Linked DNA regions of Macaca fascicularis. The protein of the gene in region 1 purifies or fractionates together with the protein of each later gene. This does not show direct contact. Links are inferred from orthologs where the notes say so. Each region holds a gene or a part of one and is shown in the gene's direction. Other genes may lie near its edges.

Region 1 (4,160 bases):
CTCAGCCTCCCAAAGTGCTGGAATTACAGGCCTAAGCCGCCACAGCAGGCCCACCTCCAGTTCTGAGGTTACTGGCATGTAAAGCACCCAACTCAGGGTTCCAACAAGAATTAAGGTTAATTTATCGTCTGCTCCTTTGAGACAGAGTCTCACACTGTCACCTCGGCTAGGGGGTGCAATGGGCCTTGGCCCACTGCAACCTCCGCCTCCCAGGTTCAAGTGATTCTCCTGCCTCAGCCTCCCCAATAGCTGAGATTACAGGCGGCTGCCATCATGCCCAGCTAACTTTTTGTATTTTTAGAGAGATGGGGTTTCACCATGTTGGCCAGGCTGGTCTTGAACTCCTGACCTCAAACGATCCTCCCACCTCAGCCTCCCAAAGCGCTGGAATTACAGGCGTGAGCCACTGCACCCAGCCATGTCTGCTCATATAGTAATTCTTTTTACGTGCACACCCTGCAATATTACTGTGCTACTCAAAAGCTAATTATGGGGCCAGGCTTGTTGGCTCACGCCTGTAACCCCCCCAGGACTTTGGGAGGTCGAGGCCAGTGGATCACTTGAGGTTAGGAGTTCAAGACCAGCCGGGCCAATATGGCGAAACCCCACCTCTGCTAAACACACAAAAACCAGGCGCAGTGGCGCGCGCCTGCAATCCCAGCTACTCCAGAGGCTGAGGCAGGAGAACCCCTTGAACCTGGGAAGCGAATGTTGCAGTGAGCCAAAGTCGCGCCACTGCACTCCAGCTTAGGCGACAAAGCAAAACTCTGTCTCAAAAAAAATAAATAAATAAAAGCTAATTATGGGACTTGTAAGAAAATATTAATTTATCATGCCCCAAGGACCAAAGTGCGCTGGAAGTTCAGCCGTAGCTGTCTTTGAGTGTGGTCAGCCGCCTGGGGGCCACGGAGACCCACGAAAAAGGGGGTCGTACGTGAATGCGAGGTCCAGGTCTTGCACCAGTCTGTTCATATCTCTTGAGCCTCAGTTTCCTTTCCTGCACTTCGAGCAGTTAACCCTCAGTGCCTAGCAGCCGGTTATTAATATGTTCACAACACCCTCCACCCAGGGCAGGGGTGGGAACGGCTGTTCTGCTTTTGAAAGAGAAAAACAACTTCCACAGTTCTTCCGGCCCCACATCCTCTGAACCGGGCTGGGCGCCTCCTCTGGGGCGTAACCAGTTGGACGCGCCCCCGACAGACCCCGCCCCCAGCCCGCCGCCAAGGCCCCGCCCCCCGGGCCGCGGCGCTTCACGTCCAGCGGGGGCGCTAGAGCGCGGGGGACCGGGCGGGGCGGGCCCGGGAGGCCCGGAGGCGGGGCCGCGGGCCGGGGGCGGACTGGGGCGGGCGGAAGGAGAGCCAGGCCGGAAGGAGGCTGCCGGAGGGCGGGAGGCAGGAGCGGGCCCGGAGCTGCTGGGCTGGAGCGGCGGCGCCGCCATGTCCGATAGCGAGAAGCTCAACCTTGACTCGATCATCGGGCGCCTGCTAGAAGGTTGGTCGCGGCGGGGGAGGCCTGCGTCCGCCGCTCCCGGGCCCCCTGCCGGGCCCGGAAGTGGCGCGCGGGCGGGCCCCCGGGGCCAGCTTAGACTGGGCGGGGACGGGCCGCGAGGTTCGGTGGCCGCAGCCGCCCCCCCGCGGACGCGCCTGAGAGGTCCTGGGCCCGCTCCGACGCGCGGAGCAGCCCCCTCTCCCGGGCCGGGGGCGCACGGGTTGCCTGGGTTCTTGAGGCGAGGGAGAAACCCGGGAAGCCCGGTCCAGGAAGGGGTCCTGCGCTGTGAGGTGTTTGGGTGGCAGCCCCCTGCGCACGACAGTCGCCTCCCGAGGCGCTGAGGGTAGTTGGGGGCTTCCCTTGGGAGGCTTGAGGCCGAGGTCCCGGGAGGCTCAGCAGCAACAGCTGCCTGCGGGCAAGGAGCAGCCGAGGAGGCCTAGGCGCCCCCGGAGGTATCCATGGGGCCACCCGTGTCGCCCACCCTCCTCCTGTCAGGGTCCCGGGTCTTGACACCCCATTGCGCCCCCAGTGCAGGGCTCGCGGCCTGGCAAGAATGTACAGCTGACAGAGAACGAGATCCGCGGCCTGTGCCTGAAATCCCGGGAGATTTTCCTGAGCCAGCCCATTCTTCTGGAGCTGGAGGCACCCCTCAAGATCTGCGGTGAGCCCCCCGACCCAGGTCCCCTTGCTTTCCTGAAAGTGGCACTGGCCCCCACAGAGTTCCTGGAGTCCTCCTCCCTTGAGCCCAGTCCTGGTCCTGGGTTCAGGTCTAGACCCTGCATCTAGCTTACCCGATTCCCTGGGTCACAGGTGATATACACGGCCAGTACTATGACCTTCTGCGACTATTTGAGTATGGCGGTTTCCCTCCGGAGAGCAACTACCTCTTTCTGGGGGACTATGTGGACAGGGGCAAGCAGTCCTTGGAGACCATCTGCCTGCTGCTGGCCTATAAGATCAAGTACCCCGAGAACTTCTTCCTGCTCCGTGGGAACCACGAGTGCGCCAGCATCAACCGCATCTACGGTTTCTACGATGAGTGTGAGTGGTCTGAGCGTCTGGGGCTGCCCGGGTCCTGAACCACACTCCTTGTCATTCAGTGGGACCTTCACATTGGCCTGATATCTGACAGACACTTGCTAAGACTGTGCACTCCACGAAGGCAGGGCCCAGGTCCGTTCTTGTGCCTGCCCTGCCCCTCCTGGCATGGGGTCTGGGGAATGGTTGCTGACTGAAGGACTGTCCGTATTCTAGTGCTTTCCCCCAGGGCCCTGCCTGGTGACGTTCCCTCTACATTTGCTACTAAGCATTTAGGATGTTTGCAGATGAGCTCTGCTGTCCAGAAGCTGAGATAAACCAGACCTGTACTTGGCCCGGCTCGTGGGCCGGGGCGTGCAAGGAGTGCCAACCCTGAGGCTGGTCCAGATTGGAACTCAGTTTCCAGTGGACTCGGGTGCTTTAGAATTACTTCTGGTGGGAGGCTGAGGCGGGAAGATCACTTGGACTCAGAAGCTCCAAGTTACAGTGAGCTATGATCTTGCCAATGCACTCCAGCCTGGGTGACTGAACAAGACCCTGTTTCTTTACTTTTTTGAGACGGAGTTTCGCTCTTGTTGCCCAGGCTGGAGTGCAGTGGTGTGATCTCAGTTCACCACAACCTCCATCTCCCGGGTTCAAGCGATTCTCCTGCCTCAGCCTCCCGAGTAGCTGGGATTACAGGCATGCGACACCACGCCTGGCTAATTTTTTTGTATTTTAGTAGAGACAGGGTTTCTCCATGTTGGTCAGGCTGGTCTTGAACTTCTGACCTCAGGTGATCTGCCTGCTTCAGCCTCCCAAAGTGCTGGGATTACAGGTGTGAGCCACCATGCCCTGCCCAGATCCTGTTTGTTTAAATTACAAATTAAAATAAAAAGTAACTAGAATTACTCCTGGAAGGCTGACAGGCGGCAGGGGTGGGGGTGGTTTGCATTGGTGCCTGACTCTCTCCCATCTGCGGCTGAATAGCCCAGAGACCCCGGCTAAGGGTGGAGCAGGCAGACCCCTCACAGCTACCTCCCTCTGGGCAGGCAAGAGACGCTACAACATCAAACTGTGGAAAACGTTCACTGACTGCTTCAACTGCCTGCCCATTGCGGCCATAGTGGACGAAAAGATCTTTTGCTGCCACGGAGGTGAGCTCTCCTTAGTTGTCATCTGGGAAGTCACTCCTTTCAGGAAGTGTCTCCCATACCCCCCTGTGCTGGGCTGCACTCACTTCCTTGATGTGCATTCTACATGGGGCGGGCTTGTCTCCTTTCTCCCAGGAGCTCTGTGCTCCGGAGGCCAGGGGCGCCTTTGTGCCTGTTTGGGAACTTGAAAAAGCTGAGGGGAAGGGGATGGCTTCTGCCTGCCTGGGCACCCAGGAGACCAGTGGAGGGACCAGGAGGGTGGTGGAAAAGTGAGGCTCACTGGCCAAGGCTTCCTGGAGGAAGGATGTCCTTGTTTGAGGAAGTGACCTTCCTTCTGGCCCTCCAGGCCTCTCCCCGGACCTGCAGTCCATGGAGCAGATTCGGCGGATCATGCGGCCCACAGACGTGCCTGACCAGGGCCTGCTGTGTGACCTGCTCTGGTCTGACCCTGACAAGGACGTGCAGGGCTGGGGCGAGAACGACCGTGGCGTCTCTTTTACT
Region 2 (4,183 bases), on another chromosome or scaffold:
TGAATTCATGAGAAGCCTTAATTGTGAGTTGTGTTTTAGGCTGTGTGCCAGGCACTTAGGTTAAAATGGTAAACAATCAAATGTGGTCTACACCCTCAAAAGGCCTGCAGTTTACTGGGAGAGACAAACATTGACCCAGTAATTATGCAAATCACTAGAAGCCTAGATTCAAAAGAAAAGAAAAAAAATATAGAAACCTAGATTCAAAACTTAGAATCAAGATGTACAAGGAAGTGTGATTTCAGGTCTGTCTCAATTCTAATATAAACTCTCCTGCACTCTGGGCAAGTCCTTCCCTTCCTCTGGATGTTAGTATCTTCTTCTGTAAAAATGGTGTCATACCATTTGCTTCTGAGGAAATCTCGCCCATTTGTCAGAATTCAGCCAAGGCAACATCACCTTCATGGTGCTTTCCCTGGCTCTCCAGGCTGTTCCTGGGGCTTCTGCTCTGGTCTTCTTGCCACCTGGGTGTACCTGTCTCACCACATCTCATGTTACAAGTTTTCTAAGCAAGGAGTAAGCTCATCAAGACTTTTATCCCTGTATCCCCAGTGCATTGTGGTGTCTGGCTCGTGTTTGTTAAATGGATGGATGGATGGATGGATGGCAAGTACAATTGTGGTGCAGGTTGTGCGAATATCATTATGAAACCTGAAGGGACAATTTGCTGGCTGATTGTCTCAGCTGAAATAATGGGACAGTATGAGCATTATTATATAGGTTTTGAAGCCTGAAGATTTCTAGTTCTGATTCTTTGTGGTGCTTTCTTGGGCGGATGGGCCTCTTTCTGCTTGTCTGTAGCTGCATTCGTAATTACACTACCTTACAGGGCTGTAGAGTTTTGAAAACTGCAAAATGTTATTTACAGTCAACTGAACTGAACTTAGCAGGAACCTTATCTCTCGGCGGAGGATGGAGATTAGAAGCAGGGGAAGACAATTCCACGGAAGGAGTGGTGGGTTGCGCTGGGCCTTTCCAGACGAGATGCAAAGGTCTGGGAGTCAGAAAACATTGGTTAGTAACCAATTGCAGTTTAAGCTCTGAACCTCAGTTCTTCTATTTCCAAAACGGAAATAATAACTTGAGCTTCGCGTAAGAGTATGACGTTCAAACGTGATAATGGATAGGACGGAAGGATTAGGAGTGGTACCCGGGGGCCACTACCTCGTGCAACGCCCCAGCCCGAAATCAAATCCGGGGCGTGGTCCCACTGTGCTACCGACCCCAGCCTGGGCAGGAAGCGCCGGCTGCGGGGGAAGCCAACCCAGAGACACAGCCGGAAGTGAGTGACTGGAGCTCCAGCAGCAGCCGCGATGGGCGCAGCCGTGAGCCTATGGAGAGCGGAGGCGTTCCCGCTTCCACCAATGGAAGGCCAACCTAGGCGGGCCTTTGCAAATTGCCCTAGTAACGGCCGCATGGTAACTCGGGCGCTGGGCGCACTGTCCTATCTGCTGGTTTTCCACGCTGGTTTTAGCTCCCGGCGTCCGCAAAATGAAAATTGAGGAGGTGAAGAGCACCACGAAAACGCAGCGCATCGCTTCCCACAGCCACGTGAAAGGGCTGGGGCTGGACGAGAGCGGCTTGGCCAAGCAGGCGGCCTCAGGGCTCGTGGGCCAGGAGAACGCGCGAGAGGTGTGGCCAGCGGACCAGGGAGTTGGGGGCTCCGAGCAGGGCTGCTGCGGCGAGAGAGCTGCTGAAGTCGGTGGCTCGGGTCGGGATGCGCGCGCCAGGGGTCTCCCGCCATAGTTGCCTCAGGGAAGTGAAAATAGGCCAGGGGCTCGGGGAGGGGCGCCGCCCTGGAGCTGGGTGAGGGGCCGCCCCAGGAAAACTAGTGACCACCCACTGGGGCCAGTTGACGGTTTGCTTCAACTCATGGACAAGTACTAATGGAAACCCACACAACCCCGTCCCCTTAATCCATGCTGAGCTCTATTCGCGACACTTATTTCCCGGGATACAGCGGGAGATAAGATAGGAGGTTACATTTTAGTGTAGTGAGAGACGATAAACGTGTACATCAATAAACAAAAATGATTATCTTGGTGGGGTTAGTTACTGCAGAACTTTGTCGGCCACGGTAAGGAAATTGGATTTTATTGTGAACGCACTGGCAGGCCGTGGGACGGTTTAAAGTAGGGAATTGACTAAACTTTAAAAGCTCGTTTTGGTTCCCAGGACCCGGGAGCTGAGGGAGAGAAGTGGGAATTAGGGAGAAGAGCAATCTGGTTTATTTATCCCTCCAAGCATCCTTTTTGACCATTCCAATTAAATCTCCTTTTTCTGAGTGCTAGTGATGCCAAGTACTTTCACATACATTATTGGTTTTTGGCAGGTGAAAATATTGAGTTGGGGAGAGGGCACTTCACCATATACTTGACACTCGTTTTAGTAATGGTAAAGCGGGGATTTGCGCTCACATGTATTTCTGACTCCCAAATCAGTGCTCTATGATGACATAGCCACTCTCTCTGCCTGCTGTTGTCTGAGGTCACAGCCATGCCCCTTGGCCTTTGCAGAGCCTTAGCTTGTACAAAAATCTTCACTTAATACAAAGTTAAGCTACTGCCTCTTAGCCTGATTTTTCTAAATAGAAAGGGCTCAAAAGAAAAACCTCGGGTTTCCATTTTGAGCATCATCTTTCCAAAAAGGAAGTGTTTGACCCTGTCTTACTAAGCAGCTATTACTGCAAGTAGCTAACATTGGTTGAGTGCTTTCCATGTGCCAAGCACTGTGCTAAGTAGCTGTGTGTCCATTGCCTTGTCATATCCAACGAATTAGTTGTCCCTTCCCTGCGTTAGTATGACAGTTTTCAGACATACAAAAAAAGTTGAAAGACTTGTATAGTAAGTACCTGTGTACCTAAATTCTATGATTAACATTTTACTATGCTGCTTTATCATATATCTTTCCATGTGTGCCTCTCCCAATCCACTTTTACATTTCAAGGTGAATTGCAGGCATCACTACACTTCACCCCTACACCCTTTAACATGTGTGCCATTGACTAGTATGAACTCTGTTCAAGTGAGGAAATTCTGGTTCATAGAGGTCAAGTAAGTAGGTCCAAGGTTACTCATCTGGTAAGTGGGAGAGTATTTTAACTCAAGTCTATGTATTTAATCCCAGAGTCCATGCTCTTAACTGATGTTGTATGCTTAAGACCCACCTCAGCTACCAGGTTCTTGTGTGATTCTGGTCACATCAGTAACCTGAAAAATGAGAGTTAGACTAGGTGATCATTTAAAGACCCTTCCAATTCTTTTTAAATGTTAGAATTCAAGCTTATCTCACCTGAGAGAAGTTGGAGTGGAAACTGAGGGAGAATAGATGGAAGAGGTCCTGGTCTGTAAATAAAAGCACATATCCAAGGTTTGTAAAGTCTCTTCTACCTTGAGTTTTCCAAAGAGCTTCAGTGCTGAGGATTATATGACAAGGTTGTATGGAAAGATCATAGTAGGTTTTTTTGTTTTTGTTTTTGTTTTTGTTTGAGATGAAGTTTCGCTCTTGTTGCCCAGGCTGGAGTGCAATGGTGCGATCTCGGCTCACTGCCACCTCTGCCTCCCGGGTTCAAGTGATTCTCCTGCTTCAGCCTCGTGAGTAGCCATGATTACAGGCGCCCACCACCATGCTCGGCTAATTTTTGTATATTTAGTAGAGACAGGGTTTCACCTTGTTGACCAGGCTGGTCTTGAACTCCTGACCTCAGGTGATCCACCCGCCTCGGCCTCCAAAAGTGCTGGGATTACAGGCATGAGCCACCGCGCCTGGCTAGGCTTTTTATCTGTTTAGAAATATAGCATCTGGGCTGGGCGCAGTGGCTCACACCTGTAATCCCAGCACTTTGGGAGGCCAAGGCAAGTGGATCACCTGAGGTCAGGAGTTCGAGACCAGCCTGGCCATCATAACAAAATCCTGTCTCTACTAAAAATACAAAAATTAGCCAGGTATGGTGGCATGTGCCTGTAGTCTGAGCTACTCGTGAGGCTGAGGCAGGAGACTCACTTGATCCTGGGAGGCGGAGGTTGCAGTGAGCTGAGATTGCGCCATTGCACTGCAGCCTGGGTGACAGTGAGACTCCATCTGAAAAAGTAGCATCTGAAGAATATCTTCTAGGTTCTATTAAGGGCAGTGTGCTTTGGTAACTGAAGTGGAAATGGGATGGATATAGCATACACACACATAT
Region 3 (4,149 bases), on another chromosome or scaffold:
CAGCTAATTTTTGCATTTTTAGAAGAGACGGGCTTTCACCATGCTGGCCAGCCTAGTCTCCAACTCCTGACCTCGTGATGTGCCAGCCTTGGCCTCCCAAAGTGCTGGGATTACAGGCGTGACCAAACAGCTTTTTAAAAAAACTACTATAGAATTAAAATAATTGCAGAGTCTGAGGCTAGATTAAGTACAATCCCAAAAGTAAAAGTACACAGGCCTTATTACTTCAAAATACAGTTCTAGGTTCACTGATAACATATCCTAAAATTACTAACATTATTCAGATTTCACAAAGTAAGCTTCAAATAGATTGATTCCTTCAACACACAGACACACACCCCTCTAAGTATTGTGTTATCTGACAACAGAAGCCAAGGAATCAAAATTATTGAGTGTTTATTACCACCTCACATACAGTTTATTACAAATGAGATATTGAAAACCAGAAAGTTCTTATTGATCTTTTGTCCTTTGTGAGCCAGCTTTTTCCTGTTTAGAATCGGAGCTGAGTCTCATGACCCTTGTGTTATACTTTAATACCACAAAGAACAGATACCATTTAAAAATCAGTGATGAATTAAATTACAAAGGAGGAAAATGTAATAAAATGCAACTTTCACAAATGTTACGTGTAAGCTACGCATAAGAATTTTTAAGGCTGAGGAATTTGTTCTCAGGCACAGGGCAAAACCTGTAGCCAAAATCAACAGGACTAATAATTTAAGACGTCAATTTTATCAGTTAAGCTAACATCAAATTTGAGTACTTTAGTGTGATATTTTCATTCTGCTAAGAAGAAAACGCCCCGGATTTTATGTAAAATATTCAGTCCCCTAAATAAAAAGTTATCTCCTTAAAAGAGAAGCTAGATTTCCTGTTGCATGTCAAGGCAGAGGGCACCACACTTCACCCATCCGAGGCTGGACTTGAGTAGGGGTGCAGGTGTTGGCAATTCATCAGTCACACAAGCTATGTGGTCTTGCAGAGGTGAATAGAGATTTTTTAACAAGGGCTTTCGAATTCTTTGAAGAAAACACTGAGACAATTTTGCTGGGGAGGAAATGCTCCATCTTCCACGTGGAAACAAACTCATAAATTCTGACTGTAGGTTGGTGTTCAGCACAACTTGGAATAACCTAACTTTTCACATAGAACACAACCCCCAAGCTGCAAGATACGGTCTCCGCGAATGGCACCAAGCACCACCTTTTCAAGCCCTCACCAGCACTGGAAGTGGGTTGGACACCCCCAAACCATCACCACCCCCCCAACAGGAAGTGAGGGTGTCCCCCCTCCCCCAGGACGGCCTTCCTCCCCTCCCCCAACCGGAAGTTGAGGCGCCCCCATTCAGCCGGCCTCCAACCAAGACAAACCAATACCACCACCACCAAAAGAGGGGTGATCTTCAAGGGGTGAAAGGCAGCTCGACTGGGGCCACCCCCAAGCTCGCCTTGCTTACTGACCTGCTGACGACAGGGGCAGGAAGGGGCCTGGGGCCTAAAGAAAGTCCCTTGCACAGAGGACAATTCCCTCAGCCCCTCTCAATCGCCTTCACTTCACGCACTCGTCGTCTCACAGCTGGACAAAAATTCTTCCGCAGCACTTTATTTTGGTGTCCTTTCCTTTTCTTTACCTAATCTCTTAACCACCTTTCCACAGGTAACTCCTCTTACCGCACAGCATTTACAATTGCTCCGGTGAGGAGAAAAATGAAATATTTTCCACGGTCCCTTCAGAAAAATGAAGGGATTATTTTGCCCCAATGCGGCGAAGGACTACGCGGTTACGCAAGGTGAGCCTTATTTTCGTGGAGGTTTCTGGGAGATGTAGTTTTTTTTTTATTGCCACGGCCCGCAGAAAGTAGAGGAACTGAAATTGGTCATGACTATATATTAGCGTCCTCGAAAACATATTCTGTATTCGATGACGGCTGACCTAGCGGGCTCCGACGCCCAGATGGGCCCAGACTTCCCTGATCTTTTCCTATGCGGCTTAATCGAACCCAAATTTTCGCTCTCGCGGGCCCAAGGTCTCGGCAGCCCCGCCCCTTGTCTTGGCCCCGCCCTCCACAGCCAATCAGGCGCCCTTTAGGTCTCGTCCTCTGGAGCTTGGAACGCAGAGAGGAGGGGCCTGGCGGCGACTCCTCCCGCTGGGCTGAGGGAGACCTGGGAGACAACTGGAGCTTGTGCGCGCGCGCGCGCGTGCTCACGGCTCCAGGAGCGCGGCGAGCGGGCGAGGGCGCGCGCGGAGGGGCGGCGCGCGGGGCCGAGAGGAGGCGGGCAGGCTGGTGGGCTGGGCGGGCGACGAGCGGCCGGGAGCGCGCGGTGGACTCGGCCGCGGCGAGTAGTTAGTTAGTTGTTCTTAGTGTCAGTTGCTCGGCGGCGGCGGCCGTGGTCACCAGGAAAGGGACGGGACGGACGGCGATGGTGGTCGCCGCGGCGTCGTGTGCGCCCCTCAGGTAACAGCGGCCAGGCTGTCTGTGTCCCCTCGGTTGCCTTTTACTCACGCGCCGGCTGTGGGACCAGGGTTGCCGCGGGTTGAGGGCGCTGACCCGGGGGAATCCGGGCGGGGCGGGGCGGCGCGGGTTCTGGGTGGCGCCGCTGCCGGGGCTCTGGCGGCCAGTGCGTCCAGCCCGGCGCGGGCTCTCGCTCTCCGGCCACCCCCGCGCCCCGCTGGTGCCGCGCGCCCCCCGCCTCCCCTGCCCCCTCCCTCGGCGGCGGCCCCGGGAGCGCGGCGCCCCCCAGAGGAAGGAAAGTTGGGACCCGCCGCGAGGGACGCCCCCCGGCGCGGCAGGGAGGCTGCGGGGGAAAGTGAAGCCTGGAGGAGCTGGACGCAGGGAGGCCAGGGTAGGAAGGACTTCTCTGGCTCCTGCCGGGTCCACACGGTCAGTCCGCTCCCACACCCGGGAGCATCGGTGCAGCCTCGCCGGCAGCGCCGGGTGGCCCCCTGCCTGCTCCCCTCGCGCCGCGGCTGGGGAGCTTGCGAATGTGTGGGCTGGCGGGGTCGTTTGGGGGTTGTGAGTGGTTCGGCTGCTCAGTTTTTTTCTTCTCTGCCCTTTGACTCATCCGTTCTTGCAACTTTTCTTTCCTCCCTCGATGGGGACTTGCCGTCTGAACCGCGTCTGTCCCCTTCCCCCTCGTCGTATGCACCATCGGTCTGGGAGCTTGATTTCATTTTTTCCTCCTTTGGCTGCGTTCAAGATTGCTGAGAGCACCGGGAGCGACCCTCCTACCCCGCCTGCCTCTGGCCTGTTAAATGTTACTTTTTGCAATTCGTTGTTTTTTAAAGATCCAAGTTCAGGAATTTGAGAGCTGTGGAATGGAGTTATTGGAAGGCTGGCGTTGAGGGGGTAGTGATGAGCTAGAGGAAAACTATGATTTCATCTTTATTGGCCTTGCTATAGAAAACCTAATTCATTTTTTTTTTCTGCCTCTATTGAGTGTGGTAAGATCATACGTTGAATTAAATACTTAGAGACTTACATAAAAGACTATTTTTAGGTCATTGGATGATGTACGAGAACAGCTTTTCACCTGAACTGGGATTGCCTTGAGGATTCTGTTTTGGGGCCTACCTACTGATTTTTGTTCAGCCACAGCGTCGTCTTTTCCCGATAAATGAAGTGATGTAGTGATGTGTGTAGTCAGAGAACCCATACTGCTCTCTGCAGTATGGAAGTGAAAAACGTGAATTATCCACAGGGGTAAAACTTTCCATGAGCAATCTTGAATACTCACTTCATGATGGCTTCTCCTGTAATCTCAGAGCATTTCTAGATAGCTCAATTCACTGGCTACCCTAATTACTTTCTGACTTGCCTGGGACTTCTCTTTGGTGACTTGTTTAGTAAACTATAATGGCAGATATGGTACATTTTCTTGGCTTCAAAGTTGAGGGTTGTAGCCTCAGCCCAGAGATGAACAATGGAAGTAGAATTCATAGCACTGCTAGTGAATTTTGGATATGACCAACTCACAAACTATGTGAAAAAACAAACATCCCCTTTTCATTGCTGTCAGGGAGGAAAGGGGGAATATTTTATTATGTCTTTGTTTTGGATTCTCTAACATGACTGTATTATGTGGGGAAAATGTCAAATTATTTTCTTTAAGGCTTTTTAATGTGTGTTCCTTCTCTTCCCTCACTACC
Region 4 (4,039 bases), on another chromosome or scaffold:
GTAGGGGTGGGTGCTCTAAGCTCTATAGATGGAAATAGCATTTGGAGATTCATCCCATGGTCTGGATTCTTCTCCAGGCAAAGGCCCATTCTTGCTGGGTTATAAGTTCTTGTTTGAAAATCTAACCTGAATTTAAGGCATTTCAGTGATAGACTGGATTAAGAAAATGTGGCACATATACACCATGGAATACTATGCAGCCATAAAAAAGGATGAGTTCGTGTCCTTTGTAGGGACATGGATGCAGCTGGAAACCATCATTTTCAGCAAACTATCACAAGAACAGAAAACCAAACACTGCATGTTCTCACTCATAGGTGGGAACCGAACAATGAGATCACTTGGACACAGGAAGGGTAACATCACACATCGGGGCCTATTGTGGGGAGGGGGGAGGGGGGAGGGATATCATTAGGAGATATACCTAATGAGTTAATGGGTGCAGCACACCAACATGGCACATGTATACATATGTAACAAACCTGCACGTTGTGTGCATGTACCCTGGAACTTAAAAGTATAATTTAAAAAAAAAAAAATCTAAACTGAAAAACAAATTCACTCAGTCACTCTAGTGCATAAGAATAAATTCACAAAAACCTTACCATTTAAATAAAAACATGGGAACTATGCCTAACTACAAGATGGCCAATATTCTGCAGAGGACTTCAGCCACCCTCTCCATTTGACTATCAAACGAGGTGATTAGATATAGTGCGTTGTCAATTTCCGCTTGAGCCTCAGTTATAGGTTGCAGGTACAGAGCTGGAGTTATCAAAGATGAATTTTAGAAAATCTGTCTCTGTTTAAAACCTTTTAAGTGCTCATACTCAGTCCCATTGCCAGGAGTGAAACCCAAACCTCCCGTATGACAAATCAATATCCAAGCCGACAGATCACACGGGATCTTCCTTATAGACCAGAACCATAGTCAATTCTTAGGTCCTTTTAAATATTAAACTCTTCACTTCCTCTCTCTACCTCTACCTGTGCGTCGCGCCTAACTTAGAACCGCCAAATCCCATTAAATCCCACCCTCACCAGCGACGCACGGTCTCCATAGGCTCCACGCGCCGCTTTTGCAGTCCCCCATTGGCCGGTTTATTGCCAGATGGCCTGCTCCCACGCCCTAGTCATCTTTGATCTCCTCGGATTCCGTGAAGCCCCGCCCTTCTCTTCTCCCCTTTGGCCCGTCTTCCCCAGCTGGCTATTTGGTTGGCCAGCGCGCTTGCCACTTACGTCATTCACCCGCGCCACCCGGAAGCCGCGGTTCCTACCAACCGTTTTTATTGCTGGCGGCCCTGAGGTAAAGGCCGCGCTTCGGTGTCCCTGGGTGGCCGGGTCCCCGAGTTGGGAGGGGCGGAAGGCTGAGCCCCCAGCTTGAGCCGGACAAGTCGATTCCCAGCGTTGAGAGGGTAGAGATGAACTGTGTGTGAGGCCAAACTGGAGCGGTCAACGTGGTCTTCCCCCTCCCCACTCCCCAGGAGCCCATCATGGCGACGCCCCCTAAGCGGCGGGCGGTGGAGGCCACGGGGGAGAAAGTACTGCGCTACGAGACCTTCATCAGTGACGTGCTGCAGCGGGACTTGCGGTGAGTGACAGTGCAGAGGGCGGGGCGTCTGGAACATTCCACGTGGTGGGTGGGGCGTTCAGAGTTAGGGCCAACCCTTTGGATTGGTGGGCGAGGCGTTCAGAGTCCGGCCCCGCGCTCCTTGGAGCGTGAAGTGGTGATGATATCCGGGGTGCAGTTTGGCTGGGACGTGGCGTTCATAGCAGGGGGCGTGTCAGCGCATGCGCGGCCTCCGATGTTTGACGGATTAGGGCTTGTTTTCTGGAGCCACAGTTCTCAGGTTCGAATCCTGGCTCGGCCATTCTTCATCCTTGTGAATACGTCATACCTCGCCTTTCTGTGCCCTATAAACTTCTCTGTGAAATGGGGAGTTTTCTGGAACCTTCCCCATACAGTGGTTTTGAGTTTTTCATATGTCCCATCTTTGTAAATAATTTAGTAGCATGGATGCCTGAAACATAGTAGAGGTTAAGTATGAAGAAATATTATTGCAATTTTTGTTAATCTAAGCAAGAAGTAAGGTGTTCAGAACTAGGACTATGAGCATCCTAAAAGGGATGGAGGATTTTTCTAGGGTGAGGATGGGACATTATGATTGGAGTTCAGTATTGGGAGTGTAGTAATAGTAATAATAGCTAACATGTAGAGAGTTTACCATTTGGTAGGCATTATTCTAGATGCTTTGAGTAAATGCTCATTTAATCCTAATGACTCTACAAGGTAATACTGTCATCTGCATTTTATAAATGGGGAAACCAAGTCCCAAACAGGTTCCTTACTTGCCAAAGCCACACATCTATAAAGGACAGAGCCCAGATCCAAACCCAGGCAGTCTGACCCAGAGCCCAAAATTAACTTGTACACTAAAAAGCCTTTTCAGCGTATGGTGACGTGAGAGTCTCAGAGGGTCATGATATGAGGTATACTAGGAGGAATGGGGCTGCCTATTGGTCACCATTGTACTTTCATCCCATCAGAAAGGTGCTGGACCATCGAGACAAGGTATATGAGCAGCTGGCCAAATACCTTCAACTGAGAAATGTCATTGAGCGACTCCAGGTAAAGACTATGGGGTTGGGTATCATTTTTTTGGTGTGTGTGGGTAAGGGAGGGAAATGGGAAGAGAGACTCCAGAGCCAAACCTGTCACCTGACCTAAGAGTTCACCACTGACCCCTACCTCTTTTTCCCTGGCCCCACAGGAAGCTAAGCACTCGGAGTTATACATGCAGGTGGATTTGGGCTGTAACTTCTTCGTTGACACAGTGGTGTGAGTGTCTACCCGCCCCTCTGAGCCCACAGGGTTCAGCTTACCCCTTCCCTCATGCAACATATATTTTTTTGAGTATCTTCTATGTACCAGGCACTATACAAGGTTTATTATCCCAGTAGGATATAAGCTAGGCGCTGGGGATGTGACAGTGAATAAAATAGGACAAAATCCCTGCCTTCCCAGAGCCTCAATTTGGGGAAGGGTGGGGAGCAAAACATACACTCTGCTAAACAGTGATAAGGACTTCCCCCGCACTTCCTCTAACCTCTCTTTCCTCAGCCCAGATACTTCACGCATCTATGTGGCCCTGGGATATGGTTTTTTCCTGGAGTTGACACTGGCAGAAGCTCTCAAGTTCATTGATCGTAAGAGCTCTCTCCTCACAGAGTAAGTCCATTCCATGAGGATAGTGTGTAAAAATACCACCATTTCCAACACTCTTCTCCCTTTCCCCATGGCTGCCTAGAATGATACTTAAGGACTCATCTCCCCTCCTCCTCAGAGCTGGGGCTGAAGAAATGTGGTTGCAAAGCCCATGTATAGCACATAATAAGCATTCAAAAAATGATCTTTGTATCGTTCATTCATGCAGACATTTATTGGGAATCTTCTGTATGCCAGGCACTGTGCTTAGCAGTGGGAATGCAGCAGTGAACAAGACAGAAGAGTTCCTTGAAGGCTTAAAATCTAGAAGGACTATACTGTTATACATAAATACAATTATGACCAGATCCATGAGGTCTCAGCCTGTTAGAGTTGGTAACAAGAAAACTAGTTACCTGTGATTTCACTTCCTGCTAATTTTACTATTCATTCACTGTGTTCCTGCCACACTGACCTTCACATGCTTCTTTCAGCACCCCAAGAATGATCCCACCCCAGGGCAATTGCCGTAGCTGTTCTCTCTGCCTGCACTGCCCTTTTCCCCAGTACCCACATGGCTTCCTTTCTCCTCACTCATCTCGCTTAAATGTCGCTTCCTCGATGAGGCCCTCTGTAACCTAACTTTAAAATCACAGCCCCTGGCATGCTTGATTCCCCTCCGTCTACTTTTTTTCCCTAACACTTATCACCCCCTAATATTTACTGTGTAATTTCTTGCTTTCTCATATTGTCTCCTCCAATTAGAATGTAAGTTTTACAAAGGGGGAGCTTTGGTTTATATCCCAGGTGACTAGAGTAGTACAAACATAGAGT
Region 5 (2,472 bases), on another chromosome or scaffold:
GGGTGGGCTGAATCTAGAGATGCTTCTTTGTTTGTGCATTGGAGTTTTCCATAATTTCATTGTGGGAGGGCGGCCTAAAGTCCTGATGTTGCCTTTTCTGTCCACTGACCACCTCAAGGTACTTTGCATAATGCAAAAAAGGCCAGTGTAATGGAAGTCGGGACTGCTGTGTCCTGGGCTCTCTGAGTGGTCCTGAGCAGGTCATGTCCCTTCTAGCCTTGAATCCTTCCTCAGTTGGCCTCTGATGTCTCCTTTTCCTTCCTGAAAGCTACACGCCCTTGCTGGGGAGAGGCTGGCATCTCCACTCCTGAGGTCAAGTCTGTCTGGTACAATCTTATCCTCTGCTTGCCCCCCTCATTTTTTCAGATCAGGATCATCTGGATAAAGAAATAGAAAAACTCCGGAAGCAACTTAAAGTGAAGGTCAACCGCCTTTTTGAGGCCCAAGGTATTGGCCTAGCAGGGACTGGAGACGAGGAGGGGAGAGAATCATCAGCATGGACTTTGAAGGGCAGGGGTGGGAAGCCCAACCCTCAGAGGTGGGCAGTGGCCGGGGCAGCCTGTGAGTGGCCCTGGAGGTATGCACAGTGGTTGGTTGTAGCTGCCCAGGGACAGAATGGACGGGAATTTATAGAGTCCTAGTCCTGTCACAGCTTCTTTTCCAGGTCCCAGGAACCGCTTGGGGTGATCTCACGTTATACATCAGGGCATGGCATGGGGATCAGATAGCTCCGACTGAGGAAACTCAGAAGGCTTCAGTGAGTGATTGAGGTCAGAGCTGAAATTCTTGATAAACACAAGCACTCTAGATTGGTCACAGGTCTTGTAAAAACCTGAGACAGCAGAGTCATGACTTTGTAGGTTCTTGGTGACACAGGAGTGGTGGTGATGCCTCATCTGGTGCATTGCAGAATTGGAGGCCCATCCCTGCCAGACCTCCAGGCCAAGTTTGGCAGCATTAGTGCAGCGTCAGCCCCTTTCCTGGGCCTGGTTCCAGAGCCAGCAGGAGGCCTGACATGCTGATGGATCATCTTCTCTCCTAGGCAAACCGGAGCTGAAGGGTTTTAACTTGAACCCCCTCAACCAGGATGAGCTTAAAGCTCTCAAGGTCATCTTAAAAGGATGAGACTCAAGAACCAAGATGGGGGACCAGCAACCCCCCAGGGTCATGAAGGACCCAGAACCCTCCAACCTTGACATCTGTAAGAACAGGATCTGCCCTGTAAGGGGACAGGCGTCAGGAATCTGGCCATGAAAACCTCTTTGTCTGTAGTGCTTGGCTACTCTGTGATGGCAGGAGGGAACCTTCAGCCTATCTGGCTGCTGGACCTGGACACCAGGGCTCAGTGGACACAAGATCTATTGATGGGCCCTGGTAGCCATCAGTGGGTGTGTGGGGCAGTGGCTGTGGGGGTGTAAGAATGACTGCAACAGGCACTTCCCAACAATGGCCTGCTGTTCACATGGACCCTGAGCAAGGAGGGAGGGAGGGAGGGGCAGAGTGGAGTTTCATTCCAGCATTCCCCTCAGAAGGGAGAGAGGTTTTCAGGCAGGTGCCATGGGATTGGAATAAACCAGGAGGCTCATGGGTGGTTGCTGAATGAAGAACAGAATCTTGGTGCTTTATGGCTCACCACAGCCATCTGTGGGGCAGGCACACACCTCCCTGCCAGCTCCATTTTTGCGCTTTTTCCCTGCTTGATTCCAAGAGTGGGTGCTGCCTAGCAGCCCTTTGTGGCCGCTCTTTACTCAGGAGGGCCTTGCAGAGTCCTGCACCCGGCCTGGGTGAGTGGGTGCCCCTCTTACCATATATGACATGTGTCAAGAGTGACCTTCCACCCCCTCTGAAAGTGGGGCCTGGCCAGCACTGCTCGTTACTGTCTGCCTTCAGTGGTCTGAGGTCCCAGTATGAACTGTCATGAAGTCAAAACTCTTGTGTTCATTAAGGGCTCAATAAATGTTAGCTGAATGAATGAATAGCAGCAACTAGTCTTTATTTACCTCATCTAGTCCTTCAGTGAGGGTACGCCGCTCCATTTAGAATACCACCTATGAACATGGTTCTTGCCTTGAAATGAACCTGTGATAGGCAGGTGACAACAAATGGCAGCATGGCAGGGGCACACCTCTCCTGGTCCCCCTGCTTCTTGGCTCTGGCTCATAGTTACATAGAAACACAGGCTGTCATGGCCAGTTCTTAACGTTTTTTCTTTCTTTTTTTTTTTTTTTTTTTTTTGGAAGGAGTCTCACTCTGTCGCCCAGGCTGGAGTGCAGTGGCCGGATCTCAGCTCACTGCAAGCTCCGCCTCCCGGATTTACGCCATTCTCCTGTCTCAGCCTCCCGAGTAGCTGGGACTACAGGCGCCCGCCACCTCGCCCGGCTAGTTTTTTGTATTTTTTAGTAGAGACGGGGTTTCACCATGTTAGCCAGGATGGTCTCGATCTCCTGACCTCGTGATCCACCCGTCTCGGCC
Region 6 (4,241 bases), on another chromosome or scaffold:
CTCCAGCTCACACCAGCCAGTGCCCACAGCCAAGTCTCCAGGTTTTCCTGGGTTTCTGCAGCCAGCTTGTAGGCCCGCCCACCCCAGGAGTCAGGATGGTAAAGGCATAGGGTTCTTAAGGTGTAGCTCCACCTGGCAGTTCTCCAACGGGATGAGGCCCAGGGGTGCATGATCGGTCTGGTGTTCTAGGTAGAAGAGGTTTCCTTGGAGGATGAACCATCGGTGCTGGTAGCTGAGGTTTCGGGTCCCCTTCTTTAGCAACATGCCTTCCTGGTCTGGGGCCTGTGTTCTGTAACCATGGAAGAAACTGAGCATGGACTTTCTGTGCAGTTCCATCGTGATCCAATATGGGAGGAAATCCCTAGGGAGAGAGAAGTGGCCCATCTAGTTGCCTTGGGGAAGAGTAGGGGAACTCTCACACTGTCCTCGTCTGGCTCCAGCAGGTGCCGCCTGGGCAGTCTTTGCTTAGGGGGATGCAGGCTCCGAGTGTCCTCAAGAGCTAGAGGTTCCAGTACAGGGGCTGACCCCCCGCCACCTCCCCCAGTCCCGCTTCTGCTTGGGCCACATTCTGTTACCTGGGCACGAGTTGCTAGGCCCTGTTTGCTCAGAGGAGCTTCATGCTACAGAGAGGCACTGTTGCCCTTTTCCAGGCCGTGGTGCTAGGCCCTGTTTGCTCAGAGGGGCTTCATGCTACAGAGAGGCACTGTTGCCCTTTTCCAGGCCTATCTGAGAGCAGGGCACAGGGACTTCTGGCCTGGGTACTGGTGCCAATGCCACCTCTCCAGTGATGGCTCTCCCACCTCAGAAGCCAGGAACTCGCCCAGGGTATGGGCGTGGGACAAATGACTTCCCCTGGGTCCTAAAGGGAGCTGTGTCCAGAAAGTGCCCCGAGAGCCGTCCAGGGGCCCCGGGCTGGCCATCGGGAGAGCCAGGCTTCCCCTCGGGGAGGGCAAGGCTCCACCTCTCAGATAGGAGAGCTTACCACCGGACCACAGGAGTGGGAAGGCAGGATTTCTAACGAGACGGTAGGGGCGCTGAGCCCTCAGCCCTGGTGGAAGGGTGACTCGAACCCAGCACAGGAAAACGGGGCAGCGACCCACTGGCCCTGCTCGGACTTTGCCCCTCCATCCTGACCCTGGGCGACCCTTTAAGTAGATGCTCTCGTTTTTCTCCAGAGCCTCTACTGCTTGAATGAGGGAATCGAAGGTACTTCCGGCCATTTCTCACGCCCGGTCAGAGTGTAGGCATTCACAGGTCCCCTCTTCTCGCCATTGTCCTCCCACGCGACTGACGTCACTTCTTGCGGGAGAGAGGGTGGAGGCGTCTTCCCTCGCTCACCGCGTACTTCCGCCCGCTCTTCCAGTTAGTTCCCTAACCCGAGTGAAGCCACTTCCGGGCTTCCCAGGCGCCTTCCACAGTCCTCTTCCGGGTGATGGCGGCCGGGTGCCCCGGATGTAGCCTTGGCGCAAGCATCTCTTCTTTTCGCCACCTCGCCTCCCGCGGAGTCCCAGGTGAGCGCGCGAGGGTGGGACAGCCCGGATCCCCGTGGCCCTCTAATTTGTACACAGCCCGGGACAGTTGGGGCTCACCACACGGAATTGGGAGTTCGGAGCAGGGAGGAACGGGGTGGCGAGAGCGCCAGGTCCTGGGTCTGCCCGGGCCCCGCGAGCTCCGAGAGAGCCAGAGTAGGAGGCGGGGGTCAGCCGGTCGAGCCGGTGGCGCCCAGACTGCGGGGGCTGGAGTTGGGAGCGGTCACGTGGTGAAGTCTGTTCCCTGTTGGCCAGGGTCAGGGGATCCAGAGGGTCCGCTCCTCCGTCCCCACCCCATTTAACTCGCGGATGCTAGACCCAAGTCCTGCAGGCCTCCTGGCTGCCAGCTTCTCTTCAGCCCTTGCTTTTGTGCTCCCTCCGCTCCCAAACTGTACCTGTCACAGACCAGGAAAAATATTTGCTGTGCTGGGTCCTCTGGTGGCGAGTCCCCTCCTCACCCCATTCTCTTTCTCTGTATCCTTTCCTCAGCTTGAGAAACACCTCTCTGCCCCGTCATGCCAAAGAGGAAAGTGACCTTCCAAGGCGTGGGAGATGAGGAAGATGAGGATGAAATCAGTGTCCCCAAGAAGAAGGTGAGGGGGCCAGACTCCTTTGTGTGGGGGAAAGAGAGGAGCTAGAAGCCTGAGGAGAAAGAAAGCTGGCGGGAGTGGGGCGGGGCGGGCAGGCAGAGAAAAGCCTAGTTTTTTCAGGTTCTCTGAAGAATGGGTTGGGAGCATCTTCAGTGTGGGTCCTAAAATATTTGGGGAAGTAGTCGAGATCCTGAAATATTTGGGGAATATTTGGGTCCAGATCCGGAAGTATTTGGGGAGGTAGCCAGTAACCTGCATTTCTTGACTTGACTCCTGCTCACAGCTGGTGGACCCTGTGGCTGGGTCAGGGGGTCCTGGGAGCCGCTTCAAAGGCAAACACTCTTTGGATAGCGATGAGGAGGATGATGATGATGGGGGGTCCAGCAAATACGACATCCTGGCCTCAGAGGATGTAGAAGGTGAGCTGTACCCAAGAATACACTCTGCTGGAGAAACAAGTAGGGGCCTCTGGTGGTGTGGAGTGAGGGAGGCTCCAGTCTCTCTTTTCCATGCCTAGAAAAGGGCACCTGTGTCTTTGGTACAGGTCAGGAGGCAGCCACACTCCCCAGCGAGGGGGGTGTTCGGATCACACCCTTTAACCTGCAGGAGGAGATGGAGGAAGGACACTTTGATGCTGATGGCAACTACTTCCTGAACCGGGATGCTCAGATCCGAGACAGCTGGCTGGACAACATTGACTGGGTGAGGCCCAGGGGCTGGTGTGGCTGGGGCCGGGGAGTGGCGGATGCTAGGCCTGCTCCCATGGCAGTTCGTGGGAAATCACTGCATCTTTCCATGACAGGTGAAGATCCGGGAGCGGCCACCTGGCCAGCACCAGGCCTCAGACTCGGAGGAGGAAGACAGCTTGGGCCAGACCCCAATGAGTGCCCAAGCCCTCTTGGAGGGACTTTTGGAGCTTCTGTTGCCTAGAGAGACAGTGGCTGGGGCACTGAGGCGTCTAGGGGCCCGAGGAGGAGGCAAAGGGAGCAGCAAGGGGCCTGGGCGTCCCAGTTCCCCTCAGCGCCTGGACCGGCTCTCCGGGTTGGCCGACCAGATGGTGGCCCGGGGCAACCTTGGCGTGTACCAGGAAACAAGGGAACGGTTGGCTATGCGGCTGAAGGGTTTGGGGTGTCAGACCGTGGGACCCCACAATCCCACACCCCCACCCTCCCTGGACATGTTCGCTGAGGAAGTGGCAGAGGAGGAACTGGAGACCCCAACCCCTACCCAGAGAGGAGGTAAGCTTGGAGGACAGAGGAGGGGGCAGTGGGCGGGAAGTGAGACACCGGAGGTCAAATGGCTTTGCCTGTTATTTTAGAAGCAGAGTCGCCAGGAGATGGTCTGGTGGATGTGATGTGGGAATATAAGTGGGAGAACACGGGGGATGCCGAGCTGTATGGGCCCTTCACCAGCGCCCAGATGCAGGTGAGCTGCTTTCTCCCTCCTTCTGGCTTGTCCCTGCTTCCCCTACTCCTGTCAGTCCTTCCCCAGCTCTGCCCTCTCCTTGCAGACCTGGGTGAGTGAAGGCTACTTCCCGGACGGTGTTTATTGCCGGAAGCTGGACCCCCCTGGTGGTCAGTTCTACAACTCCAAACGCATTGACTTTGAGCTCTACACCTGAGCCTGCTGGGGGCCCAGTTTGGTGGGTCATTCTTTCCTGGACTTTGTGGAGAAGGCACCAAGTGTCTCAGGCAGTGAGGAAATTGGAGGCCATTTTTCAGTCAATTTCCCTTTCCCAATAAAAGCCTTTAGTTGTGTATTGGGGCCTTGGCTGTGCTGACGGCCAGAAGCCAGGGGCCTTCTCCACAGCCACTTTGGACTTGCCTTGGTCCCTGAGTGTTTGCTCCCATGAAGATCTTCTTTGGAGGTGCCTGTCAGGTGTCCTGTGGCCTCACTGCCTGGACTCTGCTTGCTGTGTAAACACCCCCAACTGCGCTACTTTGTGTTCCTCTCTGAGGTTTCTTGTTTGATTCCCCTTAGGTCTTTGGCTTTCAGGATGTCAGATTCTTTGTCCTTGTAGCCACCAGGGGATGGAGCCCCAGAAGTGGAGCTTTTAGGCCTGGAAGGACCGGGGCATGGAGAAGACATTGGGTCTCTGTTGGGGGTGGGCATGGAAACGTTT
Region 7 (4,081 bases), on another chromosome or scaffold:
TGTTATTCCCCTCTCATTTTGAGTGGCCTATTAAAAGTGCACTGAATGGAAATTGGGTACTTCTCTTTTCCATGTCACCTGTCTCTGTAAAATAAGAGATATGATTACAGAAGATTTTTATTTTCTTCCTGAAAATTTCCTGTATTTTTTCCACAATAATCATGTAAGCCTTTTTAGTTAGCTTACATCCAATGATAAATAAAATCACTCTCTCACATTTAATGAATTATACCACAATCAACAGCCTTGACTCATTTTAGACGTAGAAAATGTTCTTGAATCAACCCCCTTTCATTAGTCTGGTTTTTTTCTGCTTTGTCCCTCTGGACAGTAAAAAGGAACCTTCTTAATGGAATGCCTTGCCCCAAACTGCTCTCTGGAAAGTGCACTTGCATCTTTTCCACTTCATTTCACCTGGTAAGCTTTACACCAAAGGCTGTGGGGTCTTGTGCTCAAAGCTACCGGGTGAGAGACACGAATGCTTGCAGTGTACTAAAGAGGCAGAAAACAAGCTCCAGGCCTTGTTGGTGTTTCTGGCTTGCTTGGAAACAAAGCTAAAAGATTTGTTTCGGAGATTCTGCCTACAAATATGCTTCCCAAGCGCCAGAGGCTGATTAGGGGCAGCTGCAGAAGTCATCACCGGGTAATAACTCTTGTTCCCCTGTCTTCCTCTCTGGCGCTGAGTCCAGGAAGACAACAGCAGCACCTCCCCACCCCACCCTCAAGGGAATCTGCTGGCCATTTGGTGCGGCAAAGCATTCTGGGTGATGTGGACATGACGCTGCTCCTCTACGCAGCGAGGCTCCCTCGGTTTGGCCAAGGGTCCAGGTTGCAGTGAACCTGTCCAAAGTGTGGGCTGGCCTTGATGTTTAAAATTAGCCTGCGACCATATCCCGGCAAGGCCGGTTTTTGCACCACCACTCCTCCCATCCACAACCCAGAAATCTAAGGACACGCAGCATGCATTTTCCTTGTCCTCCGTTTGTGCAAAGTCTATAATCGATAGGCGCGCAGTCCAGGCAGACGTAAACAGAAATTGATCAGACCTGTTTCGCGACTGCAGCGGACACGTGACGACGCTGCCAGCCTTCCTTCCTCTCCGGCGCCCGCGCGGGAGGCCCGGCTGCGGCGCGCTGCAGCAGGGGAGCTGGAGGCGGCGGCGCGCAGCTCAGCGGAGCTCCCGGGCTGAGCTGGGGCAGGCGGGGGCCCGCCTGCAGGCGGCGTCACGAGGGGCGGGGCGGAGGCTCGCTAGGAAGTTGCACCCGGTCAAGTTGCAGCCTTGTAAGTAACGCTGCGGACCGGGGAAGTGGGAGGGGCCGCTCCCGGAACGCAGCCTTCTTGTAAGAACCTCCAAGAAAGCAAGAAAAAAAAACAGAGGCGCTACCCTGCGCTCCCGGGAGGCCTCTGAAAGCTTCAACTAAAGAAGCACCCCCTCTCTTACAATTTCTTTAACTGCAAGAAGCGGAGGACCTGGACAAGGACTCGAGGGGCAAGGTGGCGAACCAAGGGTAGGGCGTACCGGGCCCGAGAGGTCTCCCGCAGGTTGCAGATACGGAGAACTCTCAGCGGCTTCTGAGCACGGAGGGAGCTGTCGCGGGGTCGGGAGGCCGTCCCTCATCCCTGTCTTCCCATCTTCCGACGGCCGGCGGGACCATGTCCAGAGGCCCGAGCTCCGCGGTCCTGCCCAGCGCCCTGGGATCCCGGAAGCTAACCCCCCGGAGCCTCAGCTGCTTGTCGGACCTGGACGGCGGCGTGGCCCTGGAGCCGCGGCCCTGTAGGCCCCCGGGGAGCCCGGGCCGCGCGCCGCCGCCAGCGCCAGCGCCGTCCGGCTGCGACCCCCGCCTGCGGCCCATCATCCTGCGGCGGGCGCGCTCACTGCCCAGCTCCCCCGAGCGCCGCCAGAAGGCCGCGGGCGCGCCAGGCGCTGCATGTCGGCCGGGTTGCAGCCGGCAGCTCCGCGTGCGCTTCGCCGACGCCCTGGGCTTGGAGCTGGCGCAAGTCAAGGTGTTCAACGCGGGAGACGACCCGTCGGTGCCGCTGCACGTGCTGTCGCGGCTCGCCATCAACTCTGACCTGTGCTGCAGCAGCCAGGACCTGGAGTTCACCCTGCAGTGCCTGGTGCCCGATTTCCCGCCGCCCGTCGAAGCCGCCGACTTTGGCGAGCGCCTGCAGCGCCAGCTTGTGTGCCTGGAGCGTGTCACTTGCTCGGACCTTGGCATCAGCGGTACGGTGCGCGTGTGCAACGTGGCCTTCGAGAAGCAGGTGGCTGTGCGCTACACTTTCTCGGGCTGGCGCAGTACCCACGAGGCGGTGGCGCGGTGGCGCGGGCCCGCAGGCCCCGAGGGCAAGGAGGACGTCTTCACCTTCGGCTTCCCAGTGCCACCCTTCCTGCTGGAGCTCGGCTCCCGCGTGCACTTCGCGGTGCGCTACCGAGTGGCGGGTGCCGAGTACTGGGACAACAACGACTGCCGAGACTACAGCCTCACGTGTCGCAACCACGCGCTGCACATGCCTCGGGGCGAGTGCGAAGAGAGCTGGATCCACTTCATCTGAGTCACGTGGGGACCAGCCACGTGGAGCCTCCACACCTAAGCTGCGCCTCCTGTCATTTCCCTGCTGGGCTCTCACATCTATCCGGTTGTTCTTCGCCACCCTGCAAGTCCTCTGACCTAATTTTCTGTGGCAAGGTCCCCTGGCAGCGGCCCATCCTGTCTTCTACTTGAAACGTCTGAGACACTTGGTCTAAAAAGTAGCCTCAGGTGGCCAGAAGGCCGAGTTGTGTAATGAGTTGGGGCAGGGTAGTGGGGTAGGTGCATGGGAGGGTGGGCCCTCTGGGGAGGCCCAAGCAGCTTGTTTTGCAAAGGCCCAAGTCCTCCTGCTAGGAAAAGCTTTTGCATGTGCCCTGAATGTGTCTCTGTAAACATAGCTGTTATTTATTATTGTGATGTTGGGACCGTTAGCCCATAGCGGATGCCTCCTCAGGAATATTCTCGATTTAATAAGCTAAAAAAAAAAGTTATGTTGTATGTTTGTGCCCACAGTAAACAGAATGTACAGTGTGACCCACATCATGGTCCCTCCAGGCATTCCTGCCCCAGGACAAGGAAAACCTGAGACCGCATCTGATTGCCAGTGGCTGTTGCCTTCTAACCGTGGGAAACTATTAATAGGCAAGAAATTTCTGCTTTATCAGTCATCACACAACCATTCCTGGGCATTGAGACTGTCTTGGTTAGGCTGTGTGTCTCCTACATTAACAGCTAGGGAGGAGGGAAAAGCTTCAAACTTTTAAACTAGCAAAACAGTTATTTCTCTGCATTCACAATTCTGATTTCATGTATTTCTCTGTACATGTTTGATCATTATCAGGCCATTCTGTTTAAGTTTTAACCTTCCTAAATATTTTAAGAAATCTTGCCTCAGTTGTTTCAGTTTTCAGGTGACTAGAGAATTTCAGGCAACAGTGCCCTTTGCAATTACCTTTTTGATGATTAAGGTGACTTTTTATTTCTTGTTAAGCATCAGAAGATGTCAGCATTCATCTTTTGGGAGTCCAGTTACAAGGTGGAACTAGAAGGTGTTTTCAGCAATAGCCAGAGCACTGGAGGAAAAATAATTGACAAATACTTATACTTTTAAATTGTTTTGAGTTGTATTTACATACATCACGTTTTATCAGGTACCCACCAACTTTATACTTTGTGCCTTCAGATAGTTTCTAACATTTTCTAGTTTGTCAGCTTTAAAATATTAAATTCTTTTATGTTTTTAAACTATCAACCAGTAAGTCAAGACCACTGTCCCCTGCTGAGTTAGGCAATCGCTTAAAACTCCAAAGAACTCCGGGCTGAGTTCTTTTGGTGCTCAACAGTGGTCTGACAACAGGTGCTAGAATTAAGGTGTAGGGGAAAAAAAGCCAAGAAGGACTAGATCTCCAATTTGTGAAGTTTGTTTATGATACAGTTGAAACAAGTCTGATCAGTTTTATACCTGTCACCAGGAAATTAACTCTAAATTTTTGAATGCTTGTTGGCATCTGTCAAATCAATACTGAAAGGATGCATTTCAGCTTTTAACCAGT

The links.
Region 2: the proteins of PPP1CA (region 1) and RUVBL1 purify together in Homo sapiens (affinity purification with mass spectrometry; 4 studies listed by BioGRID and IntAct, counting the BioPlex papers as one, with this or other methods). This does not show direct contact. The link is inferred for Macaca fascicularis from reciprocal best matches to the Homo sapiens genes PPP1CA and RUVBL1.
Region 3: the proteins of PPP1CA (region 1) and PEAK1 purify together in Homo sapiens (affinity purification with mass spectrometry; 3 studies listed by BioGRID and IntAct, counting the BioPlex papers as one, with this or other methods). This does not show direct contact. The link is inferred for Macaca fascicularis from reciprocal best matches to the Homo sapiens genes PPP1CA and PEAK1.
Region 4: the proteins of PPP1CA (region 1) and UXT purify together in Homo sapiens (affinity purification with mass spectrometry; 5 studies listed by BioGRID and IntAct, counting the BioPlex papers as one, with this or other methods). This does not show direct contact. The link is inferred for Macaca fascicularis from reciprocal best matches to the Homo sapiens genes PPP1CA and UXT.
Region 5: the proteins of PPP1CA (region 1) and PDRG1 purify together in Homo sapiens (affinity purification with mass spectrometry; 4 studies listed by BioGRID and IntAct, counting the BioPlex papers as one, with this or other methods). This does not show direct contact. The link is inferred for Macaca fascicularis from reciprocal best matches to the Homo sapiens genes PPP1CA and PDRG1.
Region 6: the proteins of PPP1CA (region 1) and CD2BP2 purify together in Homo sapiens (affinity purification with mass spectrometry; 3 studies listed by BioGRID and IntAct, with this or other methods). This does not show direct contact. The link is inferred for Macaca fascicularis from reciprocal best matches to the Homo sapiens genes PPP1CA and CD2BP2.
Region 7: the proteins of PPP1CA (region 1) and PPP1R3D purify together in Homo sapiens (affinity purification with mass spectrometry; 3 studies listed by BioGRID and IntAct, counting the BioPlex papers as one, with this or other methods). This does not show direct contact. The link is inferred for Macaca fascicularis from reciprocal best matches to the Homo sapiens genes PPP1CA and PPP1R3D.

What each region holds. Positions count from the first base shown.
Region 1 is NC_088388.1:6,974,540-6,978,699, forward strand, and holds the start of PPP1CA (serine/threonine-protein phosphatase PP1-alpha catalytic subunit), read left to right. Parts: upstream 1-1,360; 5' UTR 1,361-1,436; coding exon 1,437-1,491; intron 1,492-2,017; coding exon 2,018-2,149; intron 2,150-2,298; coding exon 2,299-2,529; intron 2,530-3,557; coding exon 3,558-3,662; intron 3,663-4,005; coding exon 4,006-4,160. UniProt on the Homo sapiens protein: Protein phosphatase that associates with over 200 regulatory proteins to form highly specific holoenzymes which dephosphorylate hundreds of biological targets.
Region 2 is NC_088376.1:155,323,134-155,327,316, forward strand, and holds the start of RUVBL1 (ruvB-like 1), read left to right. Parts: upstream 1-1,383; 5' UTR 1,384-1,491; coding exon 1,492-1,632; intron 1,633-4,183. UniProt on the Homo sapiens protein: Possesses single-stranded DNA-stimulated ATPase and ATP-dependent DNA helicase (3' to 5') activity; hexamerization is thought to be critical for ATP hydrolysis and adjacent subunits in the ring-like structure contribute to the ATPase activity.
Region 3 is NC_088381.1:54,713,149-54,717,297, reverse strand, and holds the start of PEAK1 (inactive tyrosine-protein kinase PEAK1), read left to right. Parts: upstream 1-1,349; 5' UTR 1,350-1,792; intron 1,793-2,341; exon of another isoform or gene 2,342-2,458; intron 2,459-2,767; exon of another isoform or gene 2,768-2,884; intron 2,885-4,149. UniProt on the Homo sapiens protein: Probable catalytically inactive kinase. Scaffolding protein that regulates the cytoskeleton to control cell spreading and migration by modulating focal adhesion dynamics. Acts as a scaffold for mediating EGFR signaling.
Region 4 is NC_088395.1:47,757,226-47,761,264, reverse strand, and holds the start of UXT (protein UXT), read left to right. Parts: upstream 1-1,239; 5' UTR 1,240-1,281; coding exon of another isoform or gene 1,282-1,493; coding exon 1,494-1,591; exon of another isoform or gene 1,592-1,600; intron 1,601-2,547; coding exon 2,548-2,629; intron 2,630-2,771; coding exon 2,772-2,839; intron 2,840-3,121; coding exon 3,122-3,229; intron 3,230-3,463; exon of another isoform or gene 3,464-3,601; intron 3,602-4,039. Other genes in the region: uncharacterized protein, read right to left, coding at 1,282-1,495. UniProt on the Homo sapiens protein: Involved in gene transcription regulation. Acts in concert with the corepressor URI1 to regulate androgen receptor AR-mediated transcription. Together with URI1, associates with chromatin to the NKX3-1 promoter region.
Region 5 is NC_088384.1:88,033,722-88,036,193, reverse strand, and holds the end of PDRG1 (p53 and DNA damage-regulated protein 1), read left to right. Parts: intron 1-366; coding exon 367-447; intron 448-664; coding exon of another isoform or gene 665-687; exon of another isoform or gene 688-1,042; coding exon 1,043-1,125; 3' UTR 1,126-1,972; downstream 1,973-2,472. UniProt on the Homo sapiens protein: May play a role in chaperone-mediated protein folding.
Region 6 is NC_088394.1:28,493,692-28,497,932, reverse strand, and holds the start of CD2BP2 (CD2 antigen cytoplasmic tail-binding protein 2), read left to right. Parts: upstream 1-1,441; 5' UTR 1,442-1,511; intron 1,512-2,018; 5' UTR 2,019-2,044; coding exon 2,045-2,122; intron 2,123-2,402; coding exon 2,403-2,538; intron 2,539-2,663; coding exon 2,664-2,821; intron 2,822-2,921; coding exon 2,922-3,357; intron 3,358-3,437; coding exon 3,438-3,544; intron 3,545-3,610; coding exon of another isoform or gene 3,611-3,629; coding exon 3,630-3,740; 3' UTR 3,741-4,241. UniProt on the Homo sapiens protein: Involved in pre-mRNA splicing as component of the U5 snRNP complex that is involved in spliceosome assembly.
Region 7 is NC_088384.1:115,990,406-115,994,486, reverse strand, and holds the start of PPP1R3D (protein phosphatase 1 regulatory subunit 3D), read left to right. Parts: upstream 1-1,281; 5' UTR 1,282-1,653; coding exon 1,654-2,553; 3' UTR 2,554-4,081. UniProt on the Homo sapiens protein: Seems to act as a glycogen-targeting subunit for PP1. PP1 is essential for cell division, and participates in the regulation of glycogen metabolism, muscle contractility and protein synthesis.